Caenorhabditis elegans: one gene and its partners. The gene in region 2 interacts genetically with the main gene of each other region. Each region holds a gene or a part of one and is shown on either strand. Other genes may lie near its edges. The genes, in order: ark-1, cdk-12 and lin-12.

What was found.
Region 1: of cdk-12 (region 2) and ark-1, changing one enhances a phenotype caused by changing the other (phenotypic enhancement), as found in Caenorhabditis elegans (one large-scale study listed by BioGRID).
Region 3: of cdk-12 (region 2) and lin-12, changing one enhances a phenotype caused by changing the other (phenotypic enhancement), as found in Caenorhabditis elegans (one large-scale study listed by BioGRID).

The regions. Positions count from the first base shown.
Region 1 is NC_003282.8:12,624,317-12,634,895, forward strand, and holds the start of ark-1 (Ack-related non-receptor tyrosine kinase), read right to left. Parts: upstream 6,707-10,579; 5' UTR 6,651-6,706; coding exon 6,577-6,650; intron 6,465-6,576; coding exon 6,379-6,464; intron 5,953-6,378; coding exon 5,778-5,952; intron 5,159-5,777; coding exon 4,924-5,158; intron 4,364-4,923; coding exon 4,043-4,363; intron 3,537-4,042; coding exon 3,193-3,536; intron 2,406-3,192; coding exon 2,036-2,405; intron 1,133-2,035; coding exon 600-1,132; intron 1-599. UniProt on the Caenorhabditis elegans protein: Probable tyrosine protein kinase which plays a role in vulva development, probably by acting as a negative regulator of the let-23/EGFR and let-60/ras pathway. Involved in the negative regulation of germline development.
Region 2 is NC_003281.10:4,327,954-4,338,710, reverse strand, and holds the start of cdk-12 (Cyclin-dependent kinase 12), read right to left. Parts: upstream 5,720-10,757; 5' UTR 5,649-5,719; intron 5,577-5,648; 5' UTR 5,487-5,576; intron 5,318-5,486; 5' UTR 5,316-5,317; coding exon 5,122-5,315; intron 4,586-5,121; coding exon 4,388-4,585; intron 2,485-4,387; coding exon 2,358-2,484; intron 1,924-2,357; coding exon 1,810-1,923; intron 1,753-1,809; coding exon 1,532-1,752; intron 1,179-1,531; coding exon 1,033-1,178; intron 981-1,032; coding exon 691-980; intron 633-690; coding exon 559-632; intron 298-558; coding exon 142-297; intron 1-141. UniProt on the Caenorhabditis elegans protein: Cyclin-dependent kinase which displays CTD kinase activity: hyperphosphorylates 'Ser-2' in the C-terminal heptapeptide repeat domain (CTD) of the largest RNA polymerase II subunit, thereby acting as a key regulator of transcription elongation.
Region 3 is NC_003281.10:9,065,812-9,076,139, forward strand, and holds the start of lin-12 (lin-12/Notch intracellular domain), read right to left. Parts: upstream 5,662-10,328; 5' UTR 5,578-5,661; coding exon 5,429-5,577; intron 3,909-5,428; coding exon 3,790-3,908; intron 2,175-3,789; coding exon 2,118-2,174; intron 1,103-2,117; coding exon 912-1,102; intron 1-911. Other genes in the region: F02A9.7 (CX domain-containing protein), read right to left, coding at 9,144-9,384, 9,491-9,813; F02A9.1 (uncharacterized protein), read right to left, coding at 10,149-10,328. UniProt on the Caenorhabditis elegans protein: Essential signaling protein which has a major role in many developmental processes; involved in cell fate decisions that require cell-cell interactions. Probable membrane-bound receptor for putative ligands lag-2, apx-1, dsl-1 and osm-11.

The DNA of each region.
Region 1 (10,579 bases), on a different chromosome or scaffold from region 2:
TTTTTCGTTTTTTTTGTAAAATCGAATTTTAAGTTTTTCTCCAAAATTTTGTGAAATTCTGTTTTTTTTTCTTTTTTTTTTTGAAGGAATTTAAATTTTATTTGAAATGCAAAATAAAAGATTTTGATAAAAACAATTTTTTGGAAAAACTGTCAAAGATGAATTTTTTGTCCAAAATTCAAAAAAAAAAACTATTTTTTGAAAAAAAAATTGGTAAAAAACCAGTTTTGAAACTTTTTCTTTGAGATTAGTCAAAATTCTTTTTCAATCCAAAAAAATTGATCGAAAATGTTTTTTTGGGTTTTCGCTGAAAATCGAAATTTCTTTCAAGGATTAAATATTTTTTTTCTGAAAAAAGGGGTTTTTTTAAAAACTAAAACCTAAATATTTAGTCAAAAATTGGCTGAAAGTATAGTTTTTTCTTTCTTTTTTTTTTGGAAAAAAAAATTGAATTTTTGTATTGTTGTGCAAAAATCAAACAAACAATTTTTTTTCGAAATTTTTTGTTTGAAAAACTCGAACTTTTTAGTTTTTTGCTTCTAAATTCAAACATTTTTAGATCATAATTTTTTGTGTCAGCCTTGTTCAGGATCCCGTACCCTCTTGCATAAACCGCTGCAACTGGGCCACGTGGTGCCGGGATGGGATCTTTCCTGCTTGATGACAATGCAGTAAGTGTAGTTGATTGACTAATTGCTCCTGGAGATCTTGTCCATCGGTGATCATCTTCCTGATCATCCATATAGCTTATCAGATTATTTGATGGAATTGAAAGAGAAATTCCAGTTAATGGATCCTTCAGTGAATTTGCTGCCGATGCGGTAAGCGGTGGAGCTGTTGGTGTCAAAGATCCCCTCGATCGATCAAGTGATGAGAATTGATCATGAACTTGAACAGAATGTTGATTTCCAGAAGAAACCGAAGAGACACTGCGTGGAGGGGGTCGTGGCTGTGAATAAGACGGTGGTTGTGAAGGAGCACGAGCCACAGGCGGTGATACAGTATCCCGGAGATTTAGAGCATCACGGCTTAGGGGTCCGACGTCACGAAGAGACATTGTCTCTTTAATTGGGACACCATTACGGGCAACTGTTTCACGGAGATGTACTGATGAAGTGGTGGAGGATGAGGTCTGGAAAATTTGTTTTTTTTGTTGAAATTAAATGTTTCGATTTTTAGCAATTCTATAGAATTTTCATCAGTTTTGTTTCTGGTAATTTTTTCGAATTTCGAATTCGAATTTTTTGTTTGTATTCTTATTATTATTTGTATATGTTTTTCACGACTAACAATCGTAATAAAAGTAAATTAGATTATCTGACAAATCGTTTGCTTCGAAAAAACTTTTTTATTTTAATTTTCCGATTTTTTTTCTGAAAAAATCACAATTTTAGTTTTTTTTTTGCTGCTGTTGAGAAATGTGATTTCGGCTAACTTTTCAATCGATTTTTCAAGAAAAAATCTGATTTTTCGGAAAAATGAATACATTTTGTGTTCCATATTTCAATTTTCTCTAAAAAAACCAAAAATTGCAATTTTTCGATTTTTTTTGTTCTCGGAAAAAATGTGAGTTCGATTTTACCATTAAAACGTTTTTAAAAATAATTTTTGTTGTGAAAAAAACATTTTCGAAAACCATTTAACATTGTGGTTTGCTCCTTTTTTTAAAAGAAAAATTATATACATATTTTCCCCTTTATTACTCTTAATAGATTCGAACAACAATTTTAAAACTTATTGAAACCATTTTTTTAAAAGATTTTTCAGAAATTCGAAAAAAAGTAATTATTGTATTTCTTTTTTCTGAAAACTGGAGATCGAAATTATATTTTTTCGAAAAAATAAAATCCGAATTGTTATTTCGACTTCCCCAGAAAATAGTATTTTTGGTTTTCGAATTTTTTTTCAAATTTTCCAATCAGATAAATCCGTACAAATTTTCTTGAATTCGAATTTTCTTAAAATTTAATTAAAAATACATAATTTCAATTTTTTTCTATTTTTCAATCGATTTTTTTGATTCAGCGAAACTAACATGAGAAGGCGCAGGCGAAGCTTGTGATCCTCTCGACGTTGACGGTGACGATGAAGTCGGGCACATTGCCTTCTTATCCAATTGTAGTAATCCAAATGCAGTTCCATCAATACCCACGTGACACGTGTGACGGACATCTCCGACTGGTTCACTTATCAGAAGCTTCTTACGTTCTCGTTCACTTTCTTTTTCAGCTTTTTTGTTCTTTTTTCCACCTTTTTCTTTCTCACTGAATCCATTTTCAATTGTTCCATTTGAGCACGGTGGTTCGGATCCTAGATGAGCTACAGTATCCGTTGGACGGAATAATCCCAGTTTTCCGTTGCGTAAAGATCCGAACCAATAGTAACCGTCAGGATATTGAGCTGGTCTGAAAATTGGGGAAAAATTAATATTTTTAGTGTTTTTTTTTTGCCATTTTTTTAAATTAGATTAGATGTTAAATATCGATATTTCAAACTTGTTTCAAATTATTTCGTTTTAAATTTCAGAGCATTTTCCGACGTTTTTTCTTCATTTTTGCCGGATTTTCAAAAAAAAAAATTTCGTAAAAGTCATCATAACTGTTTTTTTTTGGATGGAAAATTTGGAATTTTATTGGAAATTTTTGTTTCCAAAATTTTCCAAAAAATATATCAAAACTTTTTGGAACAAGAAAATGTTCTTTTTTCGATTTTTTTGGAAATTTTTGTAATTTTGTGAATTTTACAAAACTTTCAGGATTTTTTTTGAAATTTTTTGGAAAATTTTGGAATTTTATTGGAAATTTTTGTAAAATTTTGTTTCCAAAAAATTTAAAAATTTTCGAAAATATGTTTTTAAAAATTTCAAAAATTTCGAAAAATTGTACCAAAAATTTTTAGAAATTTGTGAAAATTTTGCTTCCAAAAAATTCCAAAATTTTCTAAAAAATGTTTTAAAAAATTTCCAAATTTTACCGAAACTTTTTGAAAATCATTGGAAATTTTGCTTCCAAAAATTCCAAAACTTTACAAACAATTTTGGCAATTTTTTTTTGAAATTTTTGTAAAATTTTGTTTCTAAACAATTTCCAAATTTTATGAAAACTTTTTGGAAATTTTGCTTCCAAAAATTCCGAAATTTCTCAAACAACTTTGTAAAAATTTTTTCGAATTTCATAGTCATTTTTAACTCACGATCGGCTGATAACAACAATCAAATCATCTTTTTTAAAATGTAAATGATCGGCGGCCGAATCTTTACAATCCACGACAGCTCTCACAGATTGTGCTCTTCTTTCCGGAAATTTAGCGACAATATCGGAAAATGTGGGTCTATCCTGTACTTGATGTGTCCATGTTTCCTTTAACATATCATAAATATCTTCTGGACATGCTTTTGGTCTTGTAAGAAGCTCTTTTTTCCTGTCGACAAGTTCAAGAATCTGTGCTCCCGATCGTCCTTTCCATGGCATTTCTCCATAGGAAAACATTTCCCAGATTGTTACTCCGTACGCCCAGACATCAGATTTTGAGGTGAACTGGAAATTGTTTTGTAAATTATTTTGAGCATTTAAAAAATATGAAAAATGTTAAAAATCCGAATTTTTAAATTTTCGGAAATTTTGAAATATATATTTTATTAATTTTCGGAAAATTTTAAAAATTCAGAACTTTTCAAAAATTAATTTAAAAATGTTAAAGAATTATGTTTTATAGATTTTTAGAAATATTATAAAAACGGTTTTTGTATGAATTTAAAAATTCTTATAACATTTCAATTTTAAATATTTTTTTAAAATAAAACTTTTCAAAAATACATTTTTTTAAAATTTTGTTTGAAATGTAATATTTGAAATAAAAAAAGAAAATTTTATTGGAATTTTTTGTTTCTTCGTTTTTAATATTTATTTTTGCGAATTATCGGAGTTTAGGCCGAAATTTTGTGAAATTTTCGAACAAAAAGGGGTCTGAAAATTGAATAATTGTTCAAAATTGGGGAAAAATTAAAATTTGGTAAATTTCAGCAAATGTTTTTTTGCAATACCTTTAAAAAATTAATACACTCCGGTGCACACCAAGCAATAGGAAGCTTAAGATTCGGTGTAAATTCACTTCGATAATAATCTTCACCAATTCCAAGAGATCTCGATAGTCCAAAATCTGATATTTTCACAAGTTTCGGTGAGAAAACGAGCACATTTCTTGCGGCAAGATCTCGATGAATGAGTCTTTGTAATTCAAGATATGACATTCCCATTGCAATTTGTTCAGCATAATCACATAAAACATGAACTGGAAAACTATCACGGAGAGCCGGTTTGTGAAGGCATTCCAGCAAAGATCCACATGTTGCGAGCTCCGAGACCTGCAAATTTTTTGTTATAATTTTTGAACTTTTAGATAATTCTGAAATGTTCAATTTTTTTCGAAAATTTATGATTTTTTATCATTAAAACTTTCTCACGAGGAGGAGAAGTGCGCAATTTTTGCTGTGAGTTTGACAGTTTCAGGCTAGAATACATCGTTCTGGACCATTTTTTCCGTTTTTTTTTCCTTTTTTTGATGAAAAATGCAAAAAATCAAGCTCTAGGGTTCTATAGAGATTTCTTATTAAAAACAATTTTTAAATACTAATTTTAATTTCAAAAGTCGCATAAAAAATTTCAATTTTTAAAATAATTTTCGGTATTTTTTTTTTCTGTAAAAATGGTCTTTGTTTGTCTTCGTTTAGGCATACGAGAATCTAATATTTATTCTGGGTTTTTCTAGCAAAATCGAAAATTGCATTAAAACTCTATTTTACGATATTTTTTCCATTGTTTTTTGAAATTTTTTTTCGGTTTTATGACAAAAAATTTGAATATACAAAAAATTCTAATATTACCAGATTTGTTCCGGCTTAGATTTTAATTTTTAAATCCTTACCAACATAATTTTTTTCGTATCAAGAACAACTCCATATAGTCTAACAACATGTTCATGTCTCATTCGTGTCATAATTGCAGCTTCTTGTAAAAATGATGATGACGTGGCAAGTAGTTTATCAGATCCAACACATTTTACGGCTACTTGAATGACGTCACTTCCTGCTGAATTCTTCCATCCTGCTTGCCAAACTGACCCGAATTCTCCTTGTCCCAACTCTTTGCAAAGCGTTATTCTGGAAAATTGTAACTTTAGTTTTCAATTAATTTTCTCGAAAAATTAAATCGAGCAATTTTAAAAGAGATTTTTCAATGTTGAAAAAATAATATGATGTAATGTCAAATTTGCAAACACAGTTTTCTTCGATTTTGCAAAATCTCGGAAAGTCGAAACCTCTGTACTTTTTTCTGAAAACAAGGAATTTTTAAATAAATAGTTTGTTTTCTAGGAAACTTGAATTAAAATTTAAAACCTAAAAATAAATAAAATGCAAATTTGCTTGGAAATTTCCGATTTTTCTGATTTTCAATAACGAAAATCAGATTTTTTAAATTTTAGATATTTTTCTTCACTTTTTTGTAGATAACTTATATTTTTATGTGGTGGTTATTCTTGCGAAGAGGAATAAAATTTGCTAAAAATTTTTTATTTTTTAATCTTCGAAAAAAAAAAATTATTTCTTTTGTTTTTTTTTCTGAAAATACCATACTTTTAAAATTAATTTTCTTTCGATTTTTTCAAATTTTTCATTCTGAAAAAATGATCTTTTGCCAAAACATCTTTTTTTCTGGAGTTTTTAAAAAAATTTTTTTTAATTTTCCATTTTGCTCCACGTTTTTCCCAGAAATGCTCACTTTTCAATTGGAATTACATGATGATCATTATCATCTTGATTTGCAACTGAATTCGAAGTTTTTCGATCCAAACTTTCCGCCCTTTTGAATGCTTTTTTCACTTTTCCAAAAATTCCAGACGGAAACATTTTTGTATATTCTTTTCGGAGGCGCTTTTGCTCCGGGCGGCTCATTCCTGAAAAATGTAAGTTTATTTTTCGGATTTTTTTCTGAAATATAATTCTTAATTTCCGATCAATTTTTAATTTAATTTCAGAGAAAAATAAACTAATTTTAAAAAATCTCAAATTAAAAAAAAGAAAACTAAAATAAATGGCCACAAAATGAGCAGTCATACGATTGAAAAATGAGAAAAATAAACACTTGTTTCGATTGAATCGTTGTGTAAATATTGATGGTATTTAGAGGCAGAAAGTAGAAAAAAAAAACAAAACAAATTTAATTATTTTTTGTCGAATATTATTTTTAGAATTTTAAAGAAGTTATTCTGGTTTTTTTTCAGAGATTATTGTTCTATTTTTGAGTGGAAAACTAACAAAACTGTGATTTTTTCGGTATTTTTAAAATAATTATTCATTGAGATTAAAAAAAAAATCCTCACCAACAGACAACAAATCGACTTCTTCGACATATTGTAAATCGGCAGCATTTCGTAGTTTTAGTTTTCGACGGAGATCTGATTCGTAGCTGAAAATTTTATTTTTTAATTACTTGAATCTCGGTTTTTACGCAGAAATTGTTAATTTTTCTTCTGAAAACCCCATTTTTCAGCAAATAATCTTAATTTTCCAGCTCTTACCCTGATAAATCGGCTGCTTGAAGCAGTTTATTGAGCGTCGCATCAGCGGTACCCGCCGTCGGCTCCTCTCGCATTCTTCGAATATTTTTCTTTTTTCGTTGTTTCTACCCCCGGTTGACGTTTGTTTTGCCTGCAATTTTTAGAATTTACAGTCAATTTTACACAATTTAAACGGAAAAATAACAGAATTGAAAGGCGTGGGAGGATGTGTTGACACGTGTTCAGAAAATGAAGAAAAAACAGTTTAAAATAGCAAATACCGTACCCGCCAGTTCTCGAAACGATTTCACGTATTTTAAAGTTTATGCTATGCGCCTTTAAGGAGTACAGTGTTTGATACTTCTGAAATTGCTAGTTTTTTTGAAAACTAATAAATAATTAAGAAAATGGAGCAATTTTTCACTGAAAAATCAATTTCAAAAAAATTAAAAAATTTGAGTTTCAACAAAAATCAATGAAACATTTCTTTGGAAAAAAGATGTTCAAAAAAAGATATTGGATATACATTTCTACATGCAAAGAGAGGAGACCCAGGAACATTGAACAAAAAAAACTTTTGGTCACTCTCACTTCCACTCTCTGCATGTTTAGAATTGCGTGCAATGAACCGGGCAAAAATTCATTTATTTCGACAAATTCGTGTTTGTGCGTGCTTCCCTTTATTTTTCAATTCATTTCCAATACACATTTATGTAGTGTTGAAAACTTACTAAATATGGAAGTTTGTTGCAATAGGAGAATTCAGTATTTTTCGAAAATAGAAATTAAAAAAAAATAGAAAATATTTAAGGCATTTACAGCGAAATACTGCGGAATGTAAATATATTGACGATTCACATTTTTCTGTTAAAAAAATGTATCGAAAAAGTATCGTATTTTATGTTTTTAAAGGCGCACGCAATTCTCCGACTGGGTCTCGCCACGAGAAACAAACGTGTATGGTACAAATTTAGATTTTTCTTTGAAAATTTTCTTGCAATTTCTGCTATTTAGTATTCTCAGCATTTCGAATGATAATCATGAAAATAAATAAAAAATATAAAAATCGGAAAGCGCTACCATAAAATTTTCTAAAATGCTTTCAAATAAAAAACCCGCAAAAACCATTAACTAGACTGATACTATTCTGAATTCGAATTAAACTAGAAAGACGGGAAGTTGAAAAAAAATTTCGAAAAGAATTTATCGCCGCATGGTTCATTAAACAATATCGTAACTTCTCAATTTTCTGAAAACTGTAGTCGAAGGCGCACGGATTTAGCCAGATGGGTCTCGCGGCGAATAAAGTTTTTGGTAGATTCAATTTTTTTCTTTAATTAATTAAACTTAAAATTGTGATAATAACACAACATACATTGATTTTTAAAATATGGATGTGCTCCAAAAGTGCTTCAATAAGTGATATTTATTACCCATTGTTTTTTTTGCGGCGAGACCCATCCGGAAAATTACGTGCGCCTTTAAGCAATATTTTCAGAAAAATGCGAAAGGATTAAAGCATACTACATGGAAACGTAAAAAACAAAGAAAAACTCTAATATTGCATATATCCCGAGAACAATCGAATAAAAAAAGGAGCTCCATTCCGAAAAAATGAAGGAGAAAACGGGAAAGACCATCAATCAAATTGGATGTGGAAACACATGGAGAAGAAAGAAAAAAAAAGAAAAAAGGGCGAATATCTTGTAATAGTAGTACTGGTGGTTGTAGTTGAAGTACACTTTGAAATAGTGTATGACTTCAAGCGAACATGAGGCGCAGACGGTTAGATACAATTAGCTAATGAATGTAAAGTTTCTTTTGCTTTATTGTTACGGAGATTCTAAAGTTTTTGAATTTTTTGCAAGGTTTTAAAAAGGCGCACGAATTCATTCGGATAGGTCTTGCCACGAGATGAAAGAAAAGTTTTGAAAAATCATTTTTCTAAAAAAAATCATAGATGAAATACTGAAAAGAAAATTTCAGAAAAAACTGCACACAAAATTTCGAATAGCGTAACACTGCGAAGCCAGGATATGTTTTTTTTTAATTCTTTTTTATATGAAAATTCAATTTTTCCCAATTTTCAGTTTTTTTTTTCAATTGATGCACCATGGTGTCTACATAGCACATTTCCAAGTTTTTTTTTCATTGATAAGTTCTAAAGTTCAGTGTATTTATAGGTGTCTGTCGGTATCTTTTCTTTCATTTTTTGTTGTTAAAAACCATCATTAAAATTTATATTGCCATGGTTAACTTGATGTAGAACACTTTTAAATACATATGTAGCATGTGTATTATTTTCTTTAATGTTCGTTAGGTTTGAAAAAACACAACTAGAAAAAATTGACCTGAATGTTATTAAATGCTCTTTATATTTGTGACAGGGGGCGGCAAACGATTTATTCCGGCAAATCGGCAAATCGGCAAATTGCCAGAATGGAAAATTTCCGGCAAATCGGCAATTTCCGACAATTTCGCATTTATTTTTTGGAAATTTCAAAAATTCAATTTCAAATGGCAAAATTAAACGCATCCCATGAATGTTCCTACATTTATTTTGAAAAGTAAGCGAATTCTATTTAAATATGTTTTAAAAAAGCGGAAAAAATTCAAAAAAGACTTAGTTTTCAGTGTTTCCGTTTTATAAAAAATCCCTCTAAACATTTCCGGCGAATCGGCACATTGCCGGAATTGAAAATTTCCGTCAATTCGGCAAACCGGCAATTTGCCGACTTGTCGAATTTGTCGACAAATCAATTTGCCGAACGGCAGTTGTCGCCCACCCCTAATTTGTGCACCCATCGGCCAAAAATGTACCTTTAAAAAATTAGGTATTTTTTCAACTCTTTGAAAAGTCATAAATTTTTTGAGTGATTTTCCAAACAGCTCGGTAAAAGTTTGATAATTTTGGGCAATTTTGGGTCTAATACGCAAAGTCAAAAAAAATTTTTCATGAAATTTTGATTTTTTTTTGAAGAATAGAAAGTATAGAAAAAATTTTTTAGTAAAAAAACTATCAGAATAATCAAACCTCCTAGAGCATGTGGCTTAAATTAAGAGAGACGCAGACTGTTGAACAGAGAAGACCGTAAACGATTTGATGAAAAGAAATGAAGAAGAAGAAGATACCGACAAACACACCCCCAAATACACAATGAATACCCAACTGGCCGTAAGAGAGAGAGTAAGAGAATGAGAATCTCTAGGCAAACATGAATCATCTGTTGAAGAAGAAGAAGACACCCGTCTCTCATAAATTGACACACTATTCCCCCTTTGGATGGTTTTACCCACTTATCATATTCAAAACGAACAAATCTTTTTCTTCGTTTAGATATTATATCAATTGAGATAATTGGATATAGGTGGCGCTTTTGAGAAAAGTGAAATTGAAAAGGTTTCCGTTTGAAAATGACCGAAGAATGGAACATTATTTAGGTACCAATAGAAAAATCAATAGAAAATCTGAATAAAAGGCTCTGCATTGATGGCCTAGAAAAAATTGGTGGCTTTCACTAATTATATGTTAATGGTGATCTACAATTTTTTGAGCTGATTAAAAAATTTCAGTTTTGGAAAAAGTCAAATTTTAATAAACTATAAGTGTTGGAAACTTGAAAAAAGAACCGTCGAATTTTTTAATTTTAAAGGTTTGCAGAATAACCGATTGCATATGTTTCAACTTTCGAAATTTCGTCCAAAAAGAGGGAGATATTACGAATAATAAAAACAGTTGTAAAAACTTTCAGAATGTTTGGATAAACTGAAACTTTCGGGCCACTAGAGAGGCGCCCTCAGCACGCCTTGACCGGGTGAAACGTTTGGGTAAAACAAAGACAAGGAATAGGATAATTAAAAATGAGACTATCCTACAAACAAACAAATACACATAACAAACCCCTTCGAACAATTATAAGTCATTATTGTTACTCCCTTTGACTGTTGTTGTTCTTAATAGGCACATTTGTTCGGAGAGATTTTAGAAAACGATTTTCTTTTTGAGATTTTTGATCGCTTCCGA
Region 2 (10,757 bases):
TTAAAAAATATGAATGTTAGAAAAATTCACATTTTTCGATTTTTCTGAAAATTCATAACTTCAGAAAATATAAAAAATGTAGTTTGTTAAGTTTTCAAATTTGCAACAAAAAAAATTTTTTAAGTTTTTTTCGCCACTCACCCCGTACTCCAAACATCAATTGCAGGCCCATAACGTTCATCACCCAAAAGTAGTTCTGGTGGTCGATACCATAATGTGATAACCCGATTTGTATATAATCGTGATTCCTTCTCCCATAGTCGTGCCAGTCCGAGATCAGCAATCTTCAGCTCGCCTCTGCAAACAATTTTCAAAATTATTAAAGTTCTGATTGTTTTTTTTTTTGAAAATCGCGTAACGAAAAATTTTCGTTTTCCGATTTCAAAAAAAAACCGGAATTCCATTAAAAATTGATTTTTATTGGAATTTAAGTTTTTTCCTACTGAATTGCTCTTTTGAGCTGAATTAGTATGTACTACTATTTTTTATTAAATTGAAAAAAAGAAATATTTTCCAATAAAAATCTGTTTTTAATTGAATTCAAGAAGAAAAACTAACTTATTGTTCACCAAAATGTTACTGCATTTAATATCCCGATGTAAAAATCCCGTATTGTGAATGTAGGCGAGTCCCTGAAAGTAAAAACGTTTTTTTTTTTTGAAAATTATTTCTTTGAAAAAAAAAACGAACTTCCAAAAGCTGCTTGAACAATGAACAAATCTGATCCTTATTAAAATCGACGAGCTCTTTCGATTCAAGAAGTCCTATCAAATCATGATCCACATATTCGAATACTAAATAGAAATTAGCTCTCGTTCTTTTCAGCTCATCCATCGAAATATCATCAATCACAATATCCATAAGACGGACGATATTCTTATGATGAAGCTGTCGAAGAATCTTGATTTCTCGTATTGCAGTGATTGGGAATCCTTCTTTTTCATTTTCCAATCGTACTCGTTTCAGTGCTACTTGTTCACCTGGAAATTTACAGCATTAATATTGATTTTCCAAAAAAAAAAATTAGCTTACCAGTGAGATTATTGACTGCTTTATAGACTTGTCCATAAGTTCCCTCGCCAATTTGATCAAGCATTGTGTAGTGAGTCAAATTTGTCTTGTACCATGAATCAGAATCTGATGGTCGATTTGTTGCGTGTCCACGGCGGGTTGTTATTCTGAAATATTTTAATTTAAACAAAAAAGAAAACCTAAAACATTTATTTTTAAATCTTCTAAATCAGGAACAAAAAAAACTGTTCGTTTTTCAATCTTTTGGTTTAGCTCGGTTTTTTTTAAATTAAAATTTTTCTGTAAGAAAAAAAAACGACGTAAACCGTAACATAATTATTGAATTCCGTATGAGAAATAATGATTTCGGAGTGATTTCAATTTTTCTTTCTGATTAGCTAATAAAAACCAGAAAATCGCATTTTTCGGTATTTCGATTAAAAAACAGAAAAATATGAATTTTTTTCCGATTTTCTGGCATTTCTCAAAAAAAGCAACAAAATAATTTCAAATAACTTACACAGGCCGAGTGGCTATCCGTTTACTATCCGGTGGCATTGGAAGCGGATCTTGACGCTTTGAGCTTGATGCTCCACCATCGGTTTGAGGTGGTGGTGGTGGTATGGAGCTAAGTGAAAAGCTTGCAGTAGCGGCAAAATGAATGTCAACCGATGGTGGTGGAATACTGAATGGTGCTGGTGGTGGACGAGGTGGAGGCGTCATGAATTGACTATTTGGAGGCTGAAAATTCGGGAATTCGGGCATTTGTATCAGTTTTTGATGGAATCCAAAACTTACTAATGGTGGTGGTGGAGGCTGTGAGAACATTGGCTGGAATGGATTAATATTGAATGATGGTGGAGGTGGAATCGCTGTCACATTCATTCCATTTGAAGAAACTGGTAGATCCATCTGCAAAAATCAAAGTCAATTGGAATCTAATAGGTTTTTTAAAAATTTAATTTCTGTTGTTTTTTTTCACGATAGCCAAGAGATTTTTCGATTAAAAAAAGAAAGTCGAAAAAAAATTGTATCATATTTTCCGATATTTAGAAAAAAAATCGAATTTTCGAAAAATAGCTTTAAAAACTGACAATTTTCCTCTGTTCAAGATAAAACAAAATTTGATAAGTTTTGAAATTGCTTGTTAATTTTCTAAACTTTTTTTTCGAAAAATTTTCGTTTTTCAATTTCAAATTTTTCGATTATTTCTGAAAGTGTGAATTTTTTTCTGTTTGTTCTCATGACAACCAATTCTCTCGAGATTAGTTCTAATAGGAAATTAGTTTTTTTTCTTACACATATATAGCTATTAGTCTACAAAACGAGAACTAATAAAAACTTACAGCTTCTCCTGAACTGCTGGACGAAGAGCTGCTGTGCTTTCGACGCTTTCGGCTCTTCTTTTTACTTTTCGAAGAGGATCCATAGTCTCCGTGCTTCTTCAACTCACTCATTAATGAGGTATCCATTCTGCAACTTTTAACAATTGGTGATATGCTGAACTTTTTTCAAATGGAGTATATAATTTCTAAAATTTGCCAATTCTTACCCAGATGACTCCATCACCTGTCTTCCCCGTTCGTCACGATGATTATGATTATTCTGCCAGCCACGCATGATATTACAGAAGAATACGTCTAGACGGTTCTAACAAAAAATTGAAATTGTCGCGACGGTAACGGAAATTTGAGTGTCGCGGAGGGGGCACCCGTTGACAGGAGAGATCGAAAGAAGAATGGACAACGGTGAAGCTAACAGTGTGAGAGAGACGTAGAAATTTCAGATGCCGAGATATTACGAGGCGACGGAGAGACGCAGTCTGATGGAAAACGAAGGGGACGGCGCCGCCGTCAAGCTTCATTCACCGATGGCGCTGGTTGGAAGTGACAGAGAGATAGGAATGCAGAGAAACGGGGACCCAAACAGACTCAAAGGGTGTGCGCAACGATGGAGAAGGAGTGGGGGAAAAAGTGAAGAAAGGGTCGTTTCGTCGTGTTCTCTACGTCTCAATTGCACAGGAACCGAATGTTTTGGTGGTTGTGGCATCTTCTTCATTTTTTTCTTTTTTATGGATATTTTTGTGGTGGAAAAAGGACACGAGGAAATAGACAATTGGATGAGGAATGGGCATACGATGAGAGTGCAAATTGACGGGCGGAATGTAAATCGACCAGTTGAATGGACTTGCCGATTTTGGTATTGAATAAGCTTTCTATCACACAGGTATCGGTGAGTTTCTCATTTAGTCTTCGAACGTTAAATGATTAAATCAGCGGATTCGGAAAAATTGATCATACGGTTTGGAAGCTTGTAAAACAAGAATGAATCACCCGTCTGTGAGAGGACACATTGAAACATTCAGAATTATAATATTCTATAAACCTCTGATTCCAAACTATCAAATGTTGCAAGATGAACAATATAATAGAAGATTTGTTGTTAATGACCTAGTTCAATTGTTGATCCAGTTCGAGATGGCTATCAGTTCTTGCAAAAAACGAATCAACGAGATGATAAAAATGGACGTAGAGAGAAAACAATGTAGTCGGGGAATGGAGAGAATAGCCTGGTCGCCACAGAATTGATATTAATATCAATAGCCATAGCGTGAGCCTCATTCTCCATTTTTTGCCCATTTTAAAACCGATGCTTATTGAAAACCCGTTGCAATTGGTGACCTTCAGGGACACCTGCCTCACACTTTCCCCTTTTAAAAAAGTGAAATGTTATGGGAAAGAAAATGGTCAGAATACGGTAGGTTTGTGCAAATGGTCAGATATTTCAGTTAGCTTAAAGCTGCTATAGTAAAATTAATTGGAATATATCTCAACGTAGATCTTATGAAAAGTAGTGCTAGTTACTGACAGTTTGCCACCAGAGAAGCTCGTGTATTGAACACGTGACGTCTTTTTAGATTGGGATGAAGTTGAACGGATTCGTAAAATGTAATCAAGTAGCGCTTTTCAATTGAAAATGCTAAAGAATTTTATCAACTAGAACAAGGTGTGCAGCGATTCATAAACTATGTTCTATCTGGAAGCTCCTCAGGATTCCGACTGGTTGGATTAAAACTTCAAATACAAAACCGCACCACACACAGTCAGAACATTTCGAGCTTTGTAGTAGAAATGATCCAGTGATCAGAGTATGTGATTTGGCACAAGTCAGAAAAGGGAGGAGTCACACCCCAGCACAGCGAAAACACCATCAGTTCAGCGCCCCGCCTTCCTCTCTGAGTCAGACAATGTATGGCAATCCTGGCGACTATTATTCGAATATTTGCGAGAAAACTATTGGGATATTAGCAGGCAAGTTTATCTTTTTATGATTCCATCGCTTGCTCTACAAATTATCGATTTTAATCCAAACTTACAGATCAGATGACGACGATCCGGACGAATTTCTCCTTTTGCTTTTCTTCGAAGATCCACTTCGTTTCGGTGATCGATGCCTGCTTCGACTACGGCTTCGTTTATCTCGTCGTTTGTTGTAGTCTTTGCCTTTCTTTCGATAGCTGAAATCGTTTCGTCCACGGTCGCGACCACCACCGCCACCGCCTCGGGACCAATTCCTGAAACTAGCTCACCTTTTACAACTTTTTTGGAAAAAGTTAAAATTTTAGCTAAAATCTCCAATTTTGACCACTTTTCCCAGTCGCAGCGGTCGGATATTAGCTTTCATTTTTCGGTAGTTTATCTCATATTATTTTGTTGATTAGGCAACATTTAAAGCCCGTAGGTAACCAAAAATCGCCGGAATTGGTTACCTTTCAACTTTAAATTTACTTTAATCAATGAAAAACGGAAGATAAATCACCAAAATATGCAATAAGGAATGATAAATCGATAAAAGTTTTCCGACAGTTGCGTCACGAAAAAGTTGGCGAAGTTGGAGATTTTAGCTAAAATCTCGTCATTTTTTCGAAATTTTGAACCGCCATAAAAATGTTGAGATGTCTTATTACGAAATTAGTTCATTTGAGCATATTTTGAGACTATACAGCCAAAAAATCATGCGAATGACGCAATTTTCCGATAATAACTTTAACTCTGCTACAGCATTTTTAATTGAAGAATCCAATTTTCAATTAATATCTGGAAAAAGTACCTTTGCTTGTACTGTGGAGAAATTGAATCTTTCGAGTCTCGATCTCTCGGTCTCACACCTTGTCTCGAACTTCCTCTTTTGTCTTTTGAATAAAATCTGGAAGGCGATCCACTGTGACTGCGAGTTCGTTCCCGATGTCCATAGGAACCTTTTCGATCTCTCTCGTGTGTCGAAGAACCTGGCGATATTTCCATGGCTGAAAATGATAAGAATATTAAAGATTTGAGATTAAATATGAGAAAACAAAAAAAAATAAACGACACAACGACGACAAAATATTGAAATATAATGTTAGAACATGAAACTGGAAGCGAAGGAAGAAAACTGGAGTTCAATTGGATTTCTTGGTTGTTTCGAAGACTGACCGTCTTGTTTGGAAGGATAACAACTACTATTCGATCGATCACTGTTTGCCAAATTCGAGCCGTCAGTCGACGAGTCGAAACTCATTGAATCTGCAAAAATTCGAATTTGACAGGCTAACAATTTGTTAAATCCTTTTCAAAAATAAATAATCATGAACTTACAACGCTATTCTTCTATCCGGCAGCAATATGCGTCGAATTTGGTCTGAACTTTCGTATGAAACCAACTGAAATCATGCGATTACAGGAAAACAGTTTCAATCAATAAACACAAGTGCATTTTTCTCACGTTGGCTAATGAATTTAATGAGAAAATATTATGGGATTTTGAACTAAATTTGTTATTTCGCAGGATATTTAGATTTTTTTAAGTTTTTATTCTTAAAATATCAATAAAATATTAAAAAAGAAAGGAAAAAAGAGAAAAAAGTCGGATGGCATCGAAATTGATTGGCCCCGCCTACGAAAACCGTGCGGCGCTTGCATTTTCTTTCTCTCGTCTCTCTCACATTTGCACACTCTTTCCTTCAGTGGGTGGCGCTTATGTCGAGTTTTTCTAGATTTTCTTCATTTTCAGGAGAAAAACTAGTAAAACTGATGCTGGAATTTGCTCTGAACAATTAAATAACTGCAATCTCATAGAAAAATTTAAATTATCGATTAAGAGCTCGAGAATAGTCAATTTATTGTAGCTTTATCGTGCAAAACTGCTCGAAGAAGGAATATTGAAAGTTAGTGTAATAATACAAATTTGAAAAATACTTTTTTAGAACCTCGGAATGAGATGTTTCAGGTGTCCCAACTTTGTATACAGAATGGATCGCAGAAAGAGTTGGATCACGGGAGCTTTCAGCTGATTATTATTCGGATTAAAGCTGGCCTGAAATTAACCTGCAGTCAAATCAAGAATGGCTCTTTGAGCAATTGCGCCGGGTCACGTTGGATTTTTTTAAACTTTGGTAAAGCATGTATTAATCAAAAATGATCATTTTAAGAACATATCTTATTAGCTAAATGTGAATTTTTTGGCGGAAAACTAAATACTACCAGGTCTCAAAACGATCGAAACTTCAATGCTACCGTCCCTAAAAGTATTTTGCAATTTTTTTCTCTTTTTTGAACAAAAATTTTAAATTTGTATTACCCAGTAGCGAAATAATGTGATTTTCGTCCCGAAAATACGGTACTCGATCTCGACACGACACATTTTTGTCAAACGCAATGATAATGCGTATGCTTCTTCAAAGAATACTGTAGTTCGAAACTTGTTGCTGCGGGACTTTCATCGATTGTTTAATAGTTTTTTAGTTAAAAATATATGTATTTATTGAAAAAAAAAATTAAATACACTAATTGTAACAAATCAGCAGAAAAATCATCAAAAATCGGCGAAAAGTCTTGCCGACGCCGTATTTTTGGCGCAAAAAACGTAAATTTTTGCATTTCGGTAATATCAAGATCCATATTGAAACTCGTTTTTTGTTTCAAGTTGTAGCTAACGGGTACGGTAGCTACGAAGTTTTGATCGTTTCGAGACCGGGTACCGTTATTCTGGATGAAAATATTGACAATTCCGAAACTGGGTAATATTTCTAACGGCCCATGATCCAAGGGTACATCGACATAGGGTACACCGAGCGATTTTTTGTTCAGAGGATACAATCATTCTTAGGGTACATACATCATCGAATGGCCGTTATACTGTTTGAGATAGGCGATCTGATGCTGCTAGTACGCTTCCTCAAATTGTCTGGAAGTTTTGGATATTCAACTTTTCAAAAAACCTTTCCAACATTTTCGAGACTACTTATTTTCCAAATTACCTCTCTCTTGCCTACTTCAAACATATTCTTTTCCATCAACTTTTCCTCCTCATCATCTCAATTCCTAAAAATCCTCCGAATTCACTACGTCTCTCGAATTCTCTCAATATTCCGTTATTGTCTATCCCGAATGACCTCATTCGAGGTCGTTCGCCCCCAGTCTCCATGGGCGTCAGTGTCCACTTCTTCTACAGTTTCTGGAGTGACACTGTCTGTGTCTCCTTGAACTACGTACTCTCTTCGTTTTGAAAAAGGATTCAGAAAAGAGGAGAGAGAAAGAAAACTTTTACCTCGTCTTAAGAAATACTAAGAATAATCCCGAGATTGTCACTACTTTTTTTTGCTGAAGACAGACTATTTGGAAACAATCTTCAGTTTCAACAAGTTTTCTGTATTTTTCTCTGTTTCTCTCCCTCTCTATCATTCTTTAAAAGAAGATTTGAAGTCAGGTAGGTCGACATTCAACACTTTAAATATTCATGTATGTAATTACTTCGAAATTTGGATACAAAACGTTTTTTTTGAATTGCAATTACACCACGCCTGTTCTTCATTTCTACACAACTTTCGAAGCATTTATCTCAGTAATTTGTGATAATATCAAAAGGTTGTCAACTACAAAATTATAGGAAAAATATTTTGAACATTTTTGCTGTTGACACTTTTTCTATAACATTTAAGATGGCCGAGATGCGAACTGTTAACGTTGAAGTAAGGATCCAAACGACCTATAAAGTTATTAGATTCATAATTGTACATACAACTGTTTATAAATCAATCTTCTAAAAACTATAAGGTTATGCATAATTTTATCAAATTACTGTAGTTACTGTAGTACCAAAAACCTAATTCTGAAAGACAATAAGAAGTTTTTGCAATGTGTCGTGAAGCATTGGGTTACGGTATCGGTACCATTTACTATGTCATAAGGTCGATGAGTCACAGGACGACTCCTCCCCGCTCTGCCGGCTCCCTTCTGTAAAATTTTTCGTTTTTTTTTTGATACAATAACCAGTAAAGAACGGTTTTGAAGTTATTTTATTTTATTCTAGCTTAAATACAAAACTATTCAAAAAAAATTTACTGCGTGCAATTTCAGTTCAAGAACATGTTTCTGACTATTTCAGGCCTAGTCCAAGTTAGGAGACTTCCGGCCAAATAGCAATGCGCGGAAGGGGCTGATTGGTCGGATTTTCCGCGCAAATTCAAATTTTCTGGGCTTTTATGTATTTTATAAAGTCCAGTTTCACTATCTATTGTTTACCCAATTATAGGTCAAAACATGACACCCTTCTTTCTTCATTACAACACATTTTCTTCTTCCACTCTCGTAGACAGTTCTTCAATATATATTCTCGTTTCTTCTTCTCTTTTTTCACGCCGATTCTCTTCTTTTCAATACCTCTATTTGGAATACAAATCACGTATTGTAGACAAGTTCTTTTGTTTTTTTTTCTCTGAAGTGCCTCTCGGGTTTGCCTACTATTTACGTGTGGCCTCATAGCCAGGAAAGGATATACAAATGGGCAGAGGAGTTTTGTTTTATTTTCTATCTGTTGCAAGTTATTTAATTTTTTTTCAAAGAGTTTATTGTAAAGATAAAGTGTATTGAAATTGTTTAAAATCTGTGAAAAAAATTGGCAAAAGGGAATTAGCTCACAATTCAAAAAATCTTACTCCAACTGAGCGTAGTGTACACCTATTGCAACAATCTCCCATTCAAAATGTCCTTGAAATCTCCACTACCGTTATGCCAATTTCACACTTGCCCAACAAACAAAATAATTGAAATTTTTAAATTTAGAAAATTAAATTTTTTTTTTCGTTGGAAAAAATGAGGACTAGAAGGATTACAACAGCAAATCGGTTGGATTAAATTGGGATTTGGAAATAGCTTTTTTTGGTAAACAAACAGTAAATTGTTCTGGTTTGTGAACATTTGAAATTCGTGGTTTTGTAATTTTATGTTTATGTTATTCTATTTATAAATATCTAAAAACTATTTATATAGCGCTAAAAGTACCAAATATCACAGTAAAATTTTTAGAAAGATTTTGACGATTTTTATTTAAATTTGAAAATTGGGAAAATCTAAGTTTTCCTCTATATACTTCGCAGTCGGCCGGAAAATTCTTCTGTGATATTTATAGTCTAATTTTGGTTTTGAAATTTTTTTTTCTCAATTGACCAGTAAGATATAGTACTTTTTATGGAACTTATATATCTACTTCACTGGTCATTTTTGAAATAAAGTGACTAAATACAAATAAAAGAAAATTATTTTGAAATTAAATATAGCCGAAAATTGTCTTGCAGATGTCTCTTGACCTAAAAGCTTCAATATATTAAAAATGTTTGAGCCTATAGACAACATCCTGAGTGTCAATATGTTGAACCTTTCTTTCTGAACGTTATTCTTTTCGAGTACTCTTTTGAAATTTTTTCTTCTGACCAGTTCAAAGTTTTTAAAGCTCCCCAACGAACAAACTTGTTTGTGTGAATGAGTATCATATCACTTCCCAAATCGTTTCCTTATCACTTCTTATATAAATTGTGAAGATATTGGATAGATTCAGCCTGTTTGTATCAATTGACTCTATCCACATCTTCTATAATTATCAATCTATCATTTGTTCTTTTTCTGTTTCTCTTCTCATCCGTATCAATTCTCCGTGGGGCCACAAGGACGTGTTGTTCTTCTGTTTTCTCCCATTTCATTTTATCATTTATCTGAGTTTGATACTTTTTAGCGTAACTGTATCACTTGACAACAAATTGATTCGTTTTGTTCTAGTTTTGTTGACGTAGTGTAACATTTAGTGATTCAACTCTTTCAGAAGTCAACTATTGTTTTTGAATACTCTGTTGAGTTCAGAACTTTGACTTTACTACTTCTTTAACTTTTAAAAACAAGAAAATGTGCGAAAAATTTGGATTTAACAAACTCGCGGGATAGAAGGCGCCGACCAATTAGCGCCGTTCGCTACGCCCACCGCGTATCGCTCATTGGTCGGCGTTTTTTCTCGATATTTTTGTGTAAAAATCAAATTATTTCAAAAAGGCGCTGAAAATGCTTTGAAATTTCTGTACAGGTGTACAACAAGCTAAATTTTTTCAAAAGAAAATAAATGAAGAAGTTTCAAAAATTACCAAAATTTTGATTTAATGTTGTGAAAACAATATCGAAAAATAAGGAACGAGTTTTACAAAAAAATATCTCTTGCAATTTTATGAAAATTCACAAAAATTTTAAAGTTAAAAAACAATTTATATTAAAAAAAATATTTTTAAAAATTTGATGAAACCAAAAATTTCGTTGTACGATTTAGAAAAAGGAGTTCTAAAAACTATATATTTCTTCAACTTAAATTTTTTCATTTCCAACAGAAATCTTAAAACCTCAATATTTTCCAGATGATATAGAAGTGTCACCTTCCAACTTGGGTGG
Region 3 (10,328 bases), 4.7 Mb from region 2:
TTAGTCAAAGTTTTGGCAAATCTGAATTTTTAAAACTTTAAATGTTTACTTCAAATGACATGATAAACAGATTAATAGTGTTTGAATTAATGTAACTTGTTGTGGATTACCGCAAAAAACCTAGATCTATCAAGGTAATATGTTCTTGTGTTACATCATGATGTACAAACATTAACCGGAACCGTAAATTATTCTCCCCTTATTATTCATTTTCTTATAATATTTGCACGCCCTTGAATCTCAAATATTCTGAATCACATACATACACACGCACAAAACGAAGGGCGGCAAATTTCTTTGTCGTCACCCTCGCCCGGGCAGTACGCGCGTGTCGGTTCGCATCGCCAGCTGCAGAAAGGACTACGGTAATCGATGGGAAACTATGCAATTCTAGAATTGATCTGGATTTAGCTTCAGGCAACACTCTAGGGATGTTCTATTCAAATACCAAAAACGGTGTCATACATAGTTTCAAAACCTATTGTATTGGTAACTAAAACTTGTGGCACAAATATATATATATATATATATCAACCAAGGACTAATTAGTAAAGTTTTAAAAGTTATATAAATTGCGTTTTACGGATTCATGTCAAATCCTTATGTCGAAAAATAGAGAAATTTTGTTTTCTGTCCGGAAGTATCTATACCTTCAATTGGAATTTTAATGAAATTGCTGAAAACTGCCGCAAAATCGCAATGTGCCAAGCGTTATATGCCGATTGGCATTCTAATATTTTTGTCGGTTTTTGAGAAGCTTCCCAATTCTTACTATTAAACGTACAGATATTTTGCGATTTAACAAATATTGCTCTATATTTTTATATAAATTTCTTGCAAAAACTGACAAGAAGTTGGGTGTCTTAAAAGTGCCTACTCTATATTTTCTACATAATCATAAATTAACCAACCGTATTCATACAAGTACTCCTATTTCCACATGCATTTTTGTTCTCTTCACATTCATTGACATCAAGTTCGCATCTCTCCCCCTTAAATCCATCTGGACATGCACATTTTGCTCGATTTCCAGCTCCAATACACTGTCCACCATTCATACAGACAGACGGGTAACACCATCCTTGTGTCTTACAGTCGTCTCCTGAAATGCTCTACAGTAAATCTACAGTAATCCTTAGTTCGTTAATCCCTATATTTTGTGGTTTCCCACAAGTATCAAATTCGTTCGCAACACAAAAAGAGGCACGGCAGTTGACATACATCACATCAAAAAGTTTGCCGACGCACCATGACAAACTCATTACAATCTTTAGACTACTTTGTGAAGGTAATACCGCGAACAAAATAGTTACTTGTTAGAAAATTGGGTTTAATTGAAATTCAGAAACATCAAGGATATCTCGTATTTCATGGAAGTTCGTATACCGTATTTCTTTTAACTTTGACTGCTTATATCTCAGTTGTCGTTTGTCCTATTTGAAAAATGTCAACGAAACATTTTAATGAAACATTTTTAATTTTTTCTACAGGTTAGTACTTGGTTATTAATTGATATTCAAAGATGTACCGAGATATAACCTTTCAAAGTGAAGTAGTCACAATTTCTTTTCTGAATTAAAATTTTTTATTACACTTTTAAATATATACCACTGCCTATTGCATGCCAATTAAGACATATCTTTAAGATGAGACTAGGTGTCAATCTTATTACTAAAGGAAACACGCAACAGTCATGATCTTTTAGATTATATCAATCCGACAACAGGTGGAGCACCTAGTCTCAGTGGGGTTTCCTTTCGGGTTTGCAACTACTGTGGAACGTGTCAAAAGCCCCAATAAAAGTATACCGTAACCTAGAATGTTTTGAATCTGAATTCATTTCAGAATTCGTTTCCCACGACCTTCTATTATCAAGACGTCAAGAAGACGACCCCCAGTAATTATAGAGTCATTTCGAAGATGATCGGTGTTGACGGGAAAGTCATACGGCTACAGTAATCCTGTCTCTGTTAAACTAACTATGCCCATCAATAATCCGTTAAGTTTGCTCAAGTGTACTGTGACGTAATCGGAACCGATAATTACAGGGCGCTATTAGTGGTTTGTTACACTTGTTTGTTCGGGTTATTGTTGCATTAGAATATGGAAGTACTTACCTCCGTAACCGGATGGACAGCTTGGTTTTAGTAGACTGTTTCCGTTAATGTCGCAATCTGAAATTTACTATCATAATTATTCTGTATATTAGAAAAAGTTAAGTCTAGGATATTTTTGTGTTGAACTGGAATAATTATCTGAATGAATAATTGTACTACAATAATCACAGTTCCCTACAGTATCCTGCATTACCACTACAGTACACATACAACATGTATCCACTAACCTCATTCCAATATCCTTTCAAAAAACAAAAACACTTTTTCAGAAACTACAGTACTCCTACATTACCCATATGAACTCAAAAGCAGACAGTTATTTTTAATATATAAATTGATCTATCCCTGTAACCATTCCACTTGTATATTTGCTTATTAGCCTAGTCGTACAATAACCAAATGTATACTTTCCCACGTCTGCCACTTCTTCTCCGACAGACTTCTGCTACATCAAATCCTATATACTATCATCATCTGCTCATCATTTCTAGGTCATTTATCCCACTTTTTCCCAAGAATTGGCAACACACACGAGGCGCCATCGGGTCGTCGCCCAATTCACCGCCCTCTTCACACATACCGAACATCAGACATAAATCGCGCCAAAAAGAAGCGCATCGACAATAGAGAAGCGCGCATGAAACAGAGAGGCTAGGAGGGGCAGATGACCTAGGAGCTATCTATCAGGCACCTTACGCGGTCACTTTTAACGCCGCCAACAAGACAAATGAGCTGAAGAGAAATGGAAAAAGATTGGCCGCGCTTCAATTTGTCCTCGATACAAACGAGTCATGATGAAATATTGAGGTGTTTGGTTGCCGTAACTTTGTTAAATATCTACTAACTACAGATTGATGAAGTTTGGAGCAATACTCATAAATGGTTTAACGGAAAACGATTAGTAAAATTTTTGAAAGTTGGGAATGGTAAGCGCATAAAGTTTAAAGCATAGTTTTCGTAAGCTTTCGAAATATGAGGAAATGCCTGCCTGGCTACCTACAAGGCAGCCTACGTCTGTTTCGCATAAATTACACATGTAGCCACAAACTTCCAATCTTCTAATGTCTTCAATTTTTGTTGAATTTTCAACATCAATCTACAGCAAACTACAGAGTTCAAGCTAACATTTAAAAAATTAGACGGTAGGCCGGCAAGTCAGCGTGAAGCAGACATTTAGACCTGTATACGCGTTGCCTATAGGCCTATTGCTATTATACCTGTGATAGCTTTAACAATGAGTAAGTAAATTCTTATTTTTTAATCTTCGAATATTTCGTTTAGTCTTAAAAATGATACAATTCCTAGTTTCTTAACTTCCATTGAATTTTCAAATCCACCTATTCACTTTCAAATTATTATTCACCCCCAACTTTGTCAGTTGTTTGCCACAATTCCACCAGGCATGTGCTTATGATGGATGGTGTGGTCAAAAAGATGACCGACAAAAGGGCGCGCGCAGCTGACCCTAGTTTTGGAATTTTGGGCCAAAAAAACATTTCATTCGCAACACCGCCACCATGGAGGGCTAAAAAAAATGAGTGATGGGTGTTTAGGTCCCTATGGGAATTGGGCAAAAAAGTGACCACTACTGGCTCATTGGTTTTGCAGGAAAATGAGATGCAATGGGAAGTGTTGTGTATAAGTTATTCAGCTCGAAATTACATTATCTTACCTTTACAGACACAGGTCTCCATCCGATAATCTTTGTCAAAAACACATTTCTCATCGGCTCCACATTTTGAAACATCACACTGTTGTTCACAATATTCACCACCAAATCCTTCATCGCATCTGAAACATTGGGAAGGGTTAGGGTTAAAGATTAAAGACGTCGTGCAGCCGAAAGGCACCGTAATCCTATTGTTTTATGGTTTTATGACAACTGATGGTAGGCTCACTCGACAGTATGTTTTGCCGACAAAACTGGGAACACGGCTGTAAAATTGTGAGGTGGCAACTGAGTCCTCATTTGTGATAAGATAAGCAATTTTGAAGACTATTCTTTTTCTCATTCAAAGTCTCAAAATGCCGAGTAAAAGTGGCATTCGTTGCAGTTTTCCGAAGTTGCCAATTGAAAGTAAAGCAATTTTCAGAAAGTGCAAACATTTTTCTATACTTCTATTTAAATTTTCGGGAAAAACTTTGACAGATAATACATCTGATAGGGAGTTCAAAACCAGCTACAGTAATCTTACAGTAACCCCCCATTGGTCATTTCTTTTGGGAACTTGGTCATAAATCCTACCCCATTCTTTTTTGTTTGATAAGAAAAATGTGGAAGACCAGTATTTTTTTGTCATTAAGAAGAATTCTCCCCTCAATTTCCCGTATTTTTCGGTTTTCCCATGGCAATAAACTACCGATTTGGGTGATTTTTTGGCGGCGGTGCGAGACCAGGAGGGGGAAAAGCTGCTTCTCTTTCGCATTTTAATGAGAATCTCAGCGGGTTAATTGCCTGGTTTTTCTTCGACTTTGAGACGAGAATTGGCAGGAAAAAAATGGCTGAGAATTGCTTTTCTGAAGTTGATTTATCCAAAACCCGACTTTTTCCAACTTTCCCATAACACCCTGAAAGTATTGTTTTTACAATATTTTCCCTCACTTTTTCCCAAAAAAATTGAAAGTTTTTTCTACAGCGAGGGACGACGCAGGTGTCTCCTCTGTGGGGTTTTTTCTCTCATTACTCGCTCATTTCTCTTGTTGCGCAAGTTTCGTAAATGGTGGGAACCCGTGCGAACAATGTCCTCCTATTAATTAACATCAACTATAAATTAATGGTGTGTTGTTCAAGTGACACGTGTCTCTACTTGAACCATATCACCTATCTTATCAGGAGCTAGCTGCTCAACGGAGAGCACATGCCGCTATAAATCAAGACGGATTACGTAATTATTGTTTGAAAAGGGCATGGATTATGGAAGAATAGTCTACTGGTACAAACAATGTTTTGTTATAATTTACAGTACTTCTTTTACTAGTATTGCACCTAGCTACTTAACTTTGTAAAGTTATAACTCGGTTAATTTCAAAGATATAAAAAGAATTGCCGTATTTCCTCTAATAGTCTTGAATAAAAGAATAATAGAGGAAATACGGTAACTACAAAACGGTAGCAAGAGAAATAACAAAAATTTGGTCAGTTGACAATTTTGTAAAGGAAATCCCATAATTCCTAGGAATATTCCTTACCCCCAATTTATTGCGTATTTTTAAGATTAGTTTTCAAAATGTGTAGATTTGTATTATTTATTTTACGTTGAATTAAAATTTGAAAAAATGTTTAAGTATTGTTAAGCAAAATCTTCACATACCTGCACCAATAAGAAGTTTGAGTTCCATTGACAGGTCCAGCATGGCAGTGACCATTTCTTCCACATATTAAGCCAAGACATGAGCCAATATGAAGCGATTTTGATAACGAGATAAGAAGAAATAAAAAACAAATCGTAGGGATCCGCATTTTTTGAAATTGAGCAAAGTCTGTTGAGCAATAGGGCGGACAGAGACAGGAAATTAGCTTTTAGATATGGATCATGTAGGTTCTGAAAATGGTTTTGAATTATTTAATTTAGTGAATTCGTTGTTTGAAAGTTGACGACAGTAAAACGGTATAGAAATGCAAAGGATCGGACCGTACTAATATTGCACCCCTGTTATTTAGTGTTGACAGCTTATATCTCAGTTGTCATTTGTTCTAAATAATAATTGTCAGCTGACAAAATATTTTTTCCATTGTGCAGAAAATCAGTTTTTGATATCATCAAAATGAGCGGAGATATTACCTTTCAAAGTAAAGTAGTGAGTTGCAATACTAAAAGAGGAATACAGTCATCGTCAACTAACAAACAAGGGCAAAATAGAAGGAAACAGGATCAATTCTTAAAACTATAATACTTGGCTCGAAACATTTTAAATATTTCGTGAGAGCTGTAGGAATATATTATTACCAATAAACGAAACCTAATAAAACCCAAACCTGGTAGCTTTTGCATTATCATTAATTAAGGATAAATAAATGCCAATCAAAAAATGGGTGGCTATTGTTATGTCTTCACCCAGTAAAAAGGACGAGAGAGGGCGAAGGGGTGGGGGTAGGATGAACACAAAAGAGAGAGAGACAGATGGCTCCGCCCAACTTGTTGCGGTCGCGGTGCGGCCACCAAGTAGACTTTTTTTTCATCGAGAAAGAAAAGGAGGAGAAGATGATTTTAAAATGAAACGACGATGTCAGATGGTTGGATGAAGTAGAAGTAGGAGGAGGTGGAAGAGAAGAGAGTGGGAACGGAAGGAAGAATGATCAAGATGAGGAAAACGAACTGCTGGGAACGTATGGTGATTTGCGGCTTTTGGGTCTTTGTGTGTCAGTTTTAGAGTTTTATTTCTGTTTATTTCTGTTTATTTCTGTTTATTCGGATACTTTATAGTTTTTAGTTTTATACATCAATACTTGCAAAAAATTTCTAAGCTTTGTTCAAAAAGTAATATCTTGGTTTTATCCATTTAGGAACAACTGTAAGATTGTATAAATGATTTTTAGCCATTTTATAGGCGGAAGAGATTTTTCATAGCTTTTCCTGTTCAAAAGCTGAAAGAGCTTGAAAATACTAAACACATCGAGTAAGAATTAGAAAAAAAAACAAATCAAAATATTGAACACGCTTTTTCCAAGGTGTTTTCTAATCTCTCTATTTGAATTACCTCCAAAACGAGAACTGCATGGCCAATCAGCAATTCGCTCTGCCCATTCTTCAACCAATCAGATTAAGTATGGAAATTCCGAAGTCGCTAATTGGTTCAAAAGTGGGCGTTTGTTTTTGGCGGGAATTCAAACAGATTTGATCATTTTTTGATTATTTTTTTAACTGTTTCACACAATTAAATATAACCTTATTCTCGACAATTAATTGCTATCTGAACCAAATTTGTTGCAAAAATTCACGCATAGTTGTTGCTACCAATTAACTACTATTTTCCCAAAACACGGAAATGATGGATGAGCCAACAGGAGCACAGGTGTCTGTTACTGTGGTGTCATATACATGTGACGTGACAATCAACCGGCAACTTTGAACTGTCGTCGACGGATTAGTCTCAAGACCTCTTGACTTGATTTATTGGCATGGGAACCCGCCAAGGAAAGGTTTCAAAAATAACAATATTGTTAATAAATGAGTGTAACATTTAAGAAAACATTTAAAAATGGCATTAACAATAGCTCTATAAAAACCTGGTTTTTTAGAAGGCCGTTATTAATTATCAGCTTTGGTGGTATTTTGTTTTAAAATAGTCAAATCTTAAAATTACCACAAAAAAGATAATAGGAAATCTTATGAAAATGAAAAAAATGTTGCTGAAGAAAATTCAAATTTCCGTTATATTGTGAATGGGGCTACCTTGTTCTCCTACTTTTATTTGCACAAGTGCATCATCATCTGTGTCCTTCTATCTCAACCATTCATGATTATTTTGTGTTTTAGTTGATTTTTTACTGATTGATCATGCATCTAAAAATAATGGGAAAATGTTTTCAAAACTAACCTTTTAGTGGGAAATTGTGAGATTATTAGCGTGGGCGCATGCCTCCCCAAAAAATGTTGTTATCAACGTACGTAGTAGTAGAAAAGAAGCCAAATGGAACAAAACGAAAAAGAAAAAGAAATCGAAAATATGAAACAAATAGAAAAGAATCAACATTTCGGCACAAGATGGCAGATATTGAATATTGATTGATTCAGGTACACTTATACAATCTCCAGTTGCACAGGTGGAATCGTCATATTGGACAATCTGGCAATATTTATATACACGAAGACCTTTGTCGATGGTTTATTGCTAATTCGATTACAATTTTGAGTCATTGTTAGGAAAGTAGAGGTTGCAGATGTTTATTGATCATTTCATAATTTTTATTAAAAGTTTTTTTTCTCTTTTCTGAAAATTCAATCCGATTTCAAGCATGCTAACTTTGAACATTTTTAGATTTTTCTAAATTTTCAGTCAGTTTTGGTAATTGAACAAATTTTTCAAAATGACTTTCTGAGACATTTTGAGCCATGTCGCAGAAACCCTTACAATGCTTGAATATAAGCCTTTGAAATATAATTAAAATTTTAAAAAATGATGGAAAATCCATTTTTCATTCTTCTGGCCAACTTCCGAAATCATGATATGGAAAAACAGAGTCATCTACACTTTTCGACTGGAAATGAATATCTTAAGATTTAAGATTTGTTAAGATTTCGAAATTTACTTGAATTATAATGTTCAACAGCTTTAGCACTAGAAAATGATATTTTCTCATTTCCCACTGGTGTTACTCCAAATTAAGTTGAGCATAATAACTTCTATCATTTGATACTTTGATTCAAGTACGGCTCCTTCGAAATTTCAATGCATAAACTCGCAAGTTTAGAACTCCAGAAAATGTATGAGGTTGGTTAAGACCCCAATTTCTTCTTCCGGTTTATTTGTGCACAATGATGTAACACGAGAGAGTGTTACCATAACTTTTCTCGACTTTATACATTAATCTACAGTAATCCAACAGATACGTGTTATGTTAATCCTTCCGGATTCTGTTCAACATATAGTGAACTGACTGAGTTAATTTTTAGGGCAATAAATCAATCTATGTAACTGTTTGAATGAATCTATAAAACTTGGGTTGGAAACTTGGGTATTTGACATTTTTTATGATTTGCCATCATTATTTAGAAAGTGCTTCAAAGAATCACCGCTTTGTTATTTATGAAGAAAAACATTTTGACCTCTTTAATACCACAAATATTTATTCAAAAATATTATTCAAAAAAGAAAACCGGGATCATACTCTGTAAAAGTGAGAAATAAAACATCATATTTCCAGTATTCGTCTGCTCCCTACAACTCGAACAGTTCATATCGAAATTTATTAATTTTAATAATGTTTGATAAAAAATTGAAAAATTTTCAAAAGAAATGCCGGGAGTGAGACTAATAGAAGAAATGCGACAGATATCAAATTATATACAGTAAATCGATTTTTTTTCATGCTCCGACACCAGGCGCATTTTCATTTTTCTTTGACATATCCACAAGTTCCAACGATTTATAGACTTGTGACTCAATCTTCTTCCCATTTAACTTCTTCTTTGTCCATTTGAAAATAGTATCAGCAATTCCACTGATTAGCAAGAAGAATAAGAAACCAAGTAGAACAAGAGCACAGCACCATTTATCGATTTTTTGATTGTATTCGGAACGGGTGTGGTCGACGAGACAGCTTCCTCTGAAAAGTTATATTTCCTATTGATTGTGAATATTGGAAGGGGAACTAAAGATTCAATGAATCTAAATTGAGAAAACACCGAAATTTCCATTGAAAATAAACTTACTCTGGGCAGAAATAGTGTCCAATAATCATGAATCCATCTCCTTTGTGATAAAAGGTCTTATTAAGATGACTAACCCAATCCAGATTCGTTGTCACCGGCATAAAATCAGTGGAATTGAAGAAATTATCAATTTGAAACTCGACTCTTTCCACTGGAACATCAAAATGTCTTGAAATCTGTGCAGTGTTCTCCATGATACTGTAGTATTGCATTTCATTGTCACGGAATGTTACGTGGCAGTAAGAGTCACAATTGATGACAATAAATAAATGAAATTGCGAGATTACGGTAGGTAGAGTGAAGATCAATATAAGCACAATCATGAGGTGCGGTTGGCTGGGAAAAAGAACGTTTAGGTGTTAAATGGGAACCATAACCAAAAAATAAAAAAACGAAGAAAATAAAACGGGACCGAAAACCCATAACACGGAAGGTGCTCCATCTCATAAAAATACAAAAATAAAATTTTATTTTTATATGGGATGACATGAAATGTGAATAAATAATAAAATACAGTAAACTCGGGAAAACGTTTAGAAATGGCTCAGATAAAGCATGGGACTTTCATTTGAGAAAAAGTTGAATCATTGTTTACAAAAATTTACAAAATTTCGCGATTTGAACACAAATAAAAATTGATACTACTTTAAAATCATTCTTAATGTGCAAGTTCGGCTGCCTCAGTTAATCTTAAAGTGTCACGAAGTTCGACAGCTTTTCGAGTTTTTCGAAACCCGAGAAACGAGACGTATACAGTTTGTAGCGCGAGTCCAGCTAAAACAGAAATACAAAAAGCTGCAAGTGAAACAATGACCATGAAACGACAACTTCCATTGCA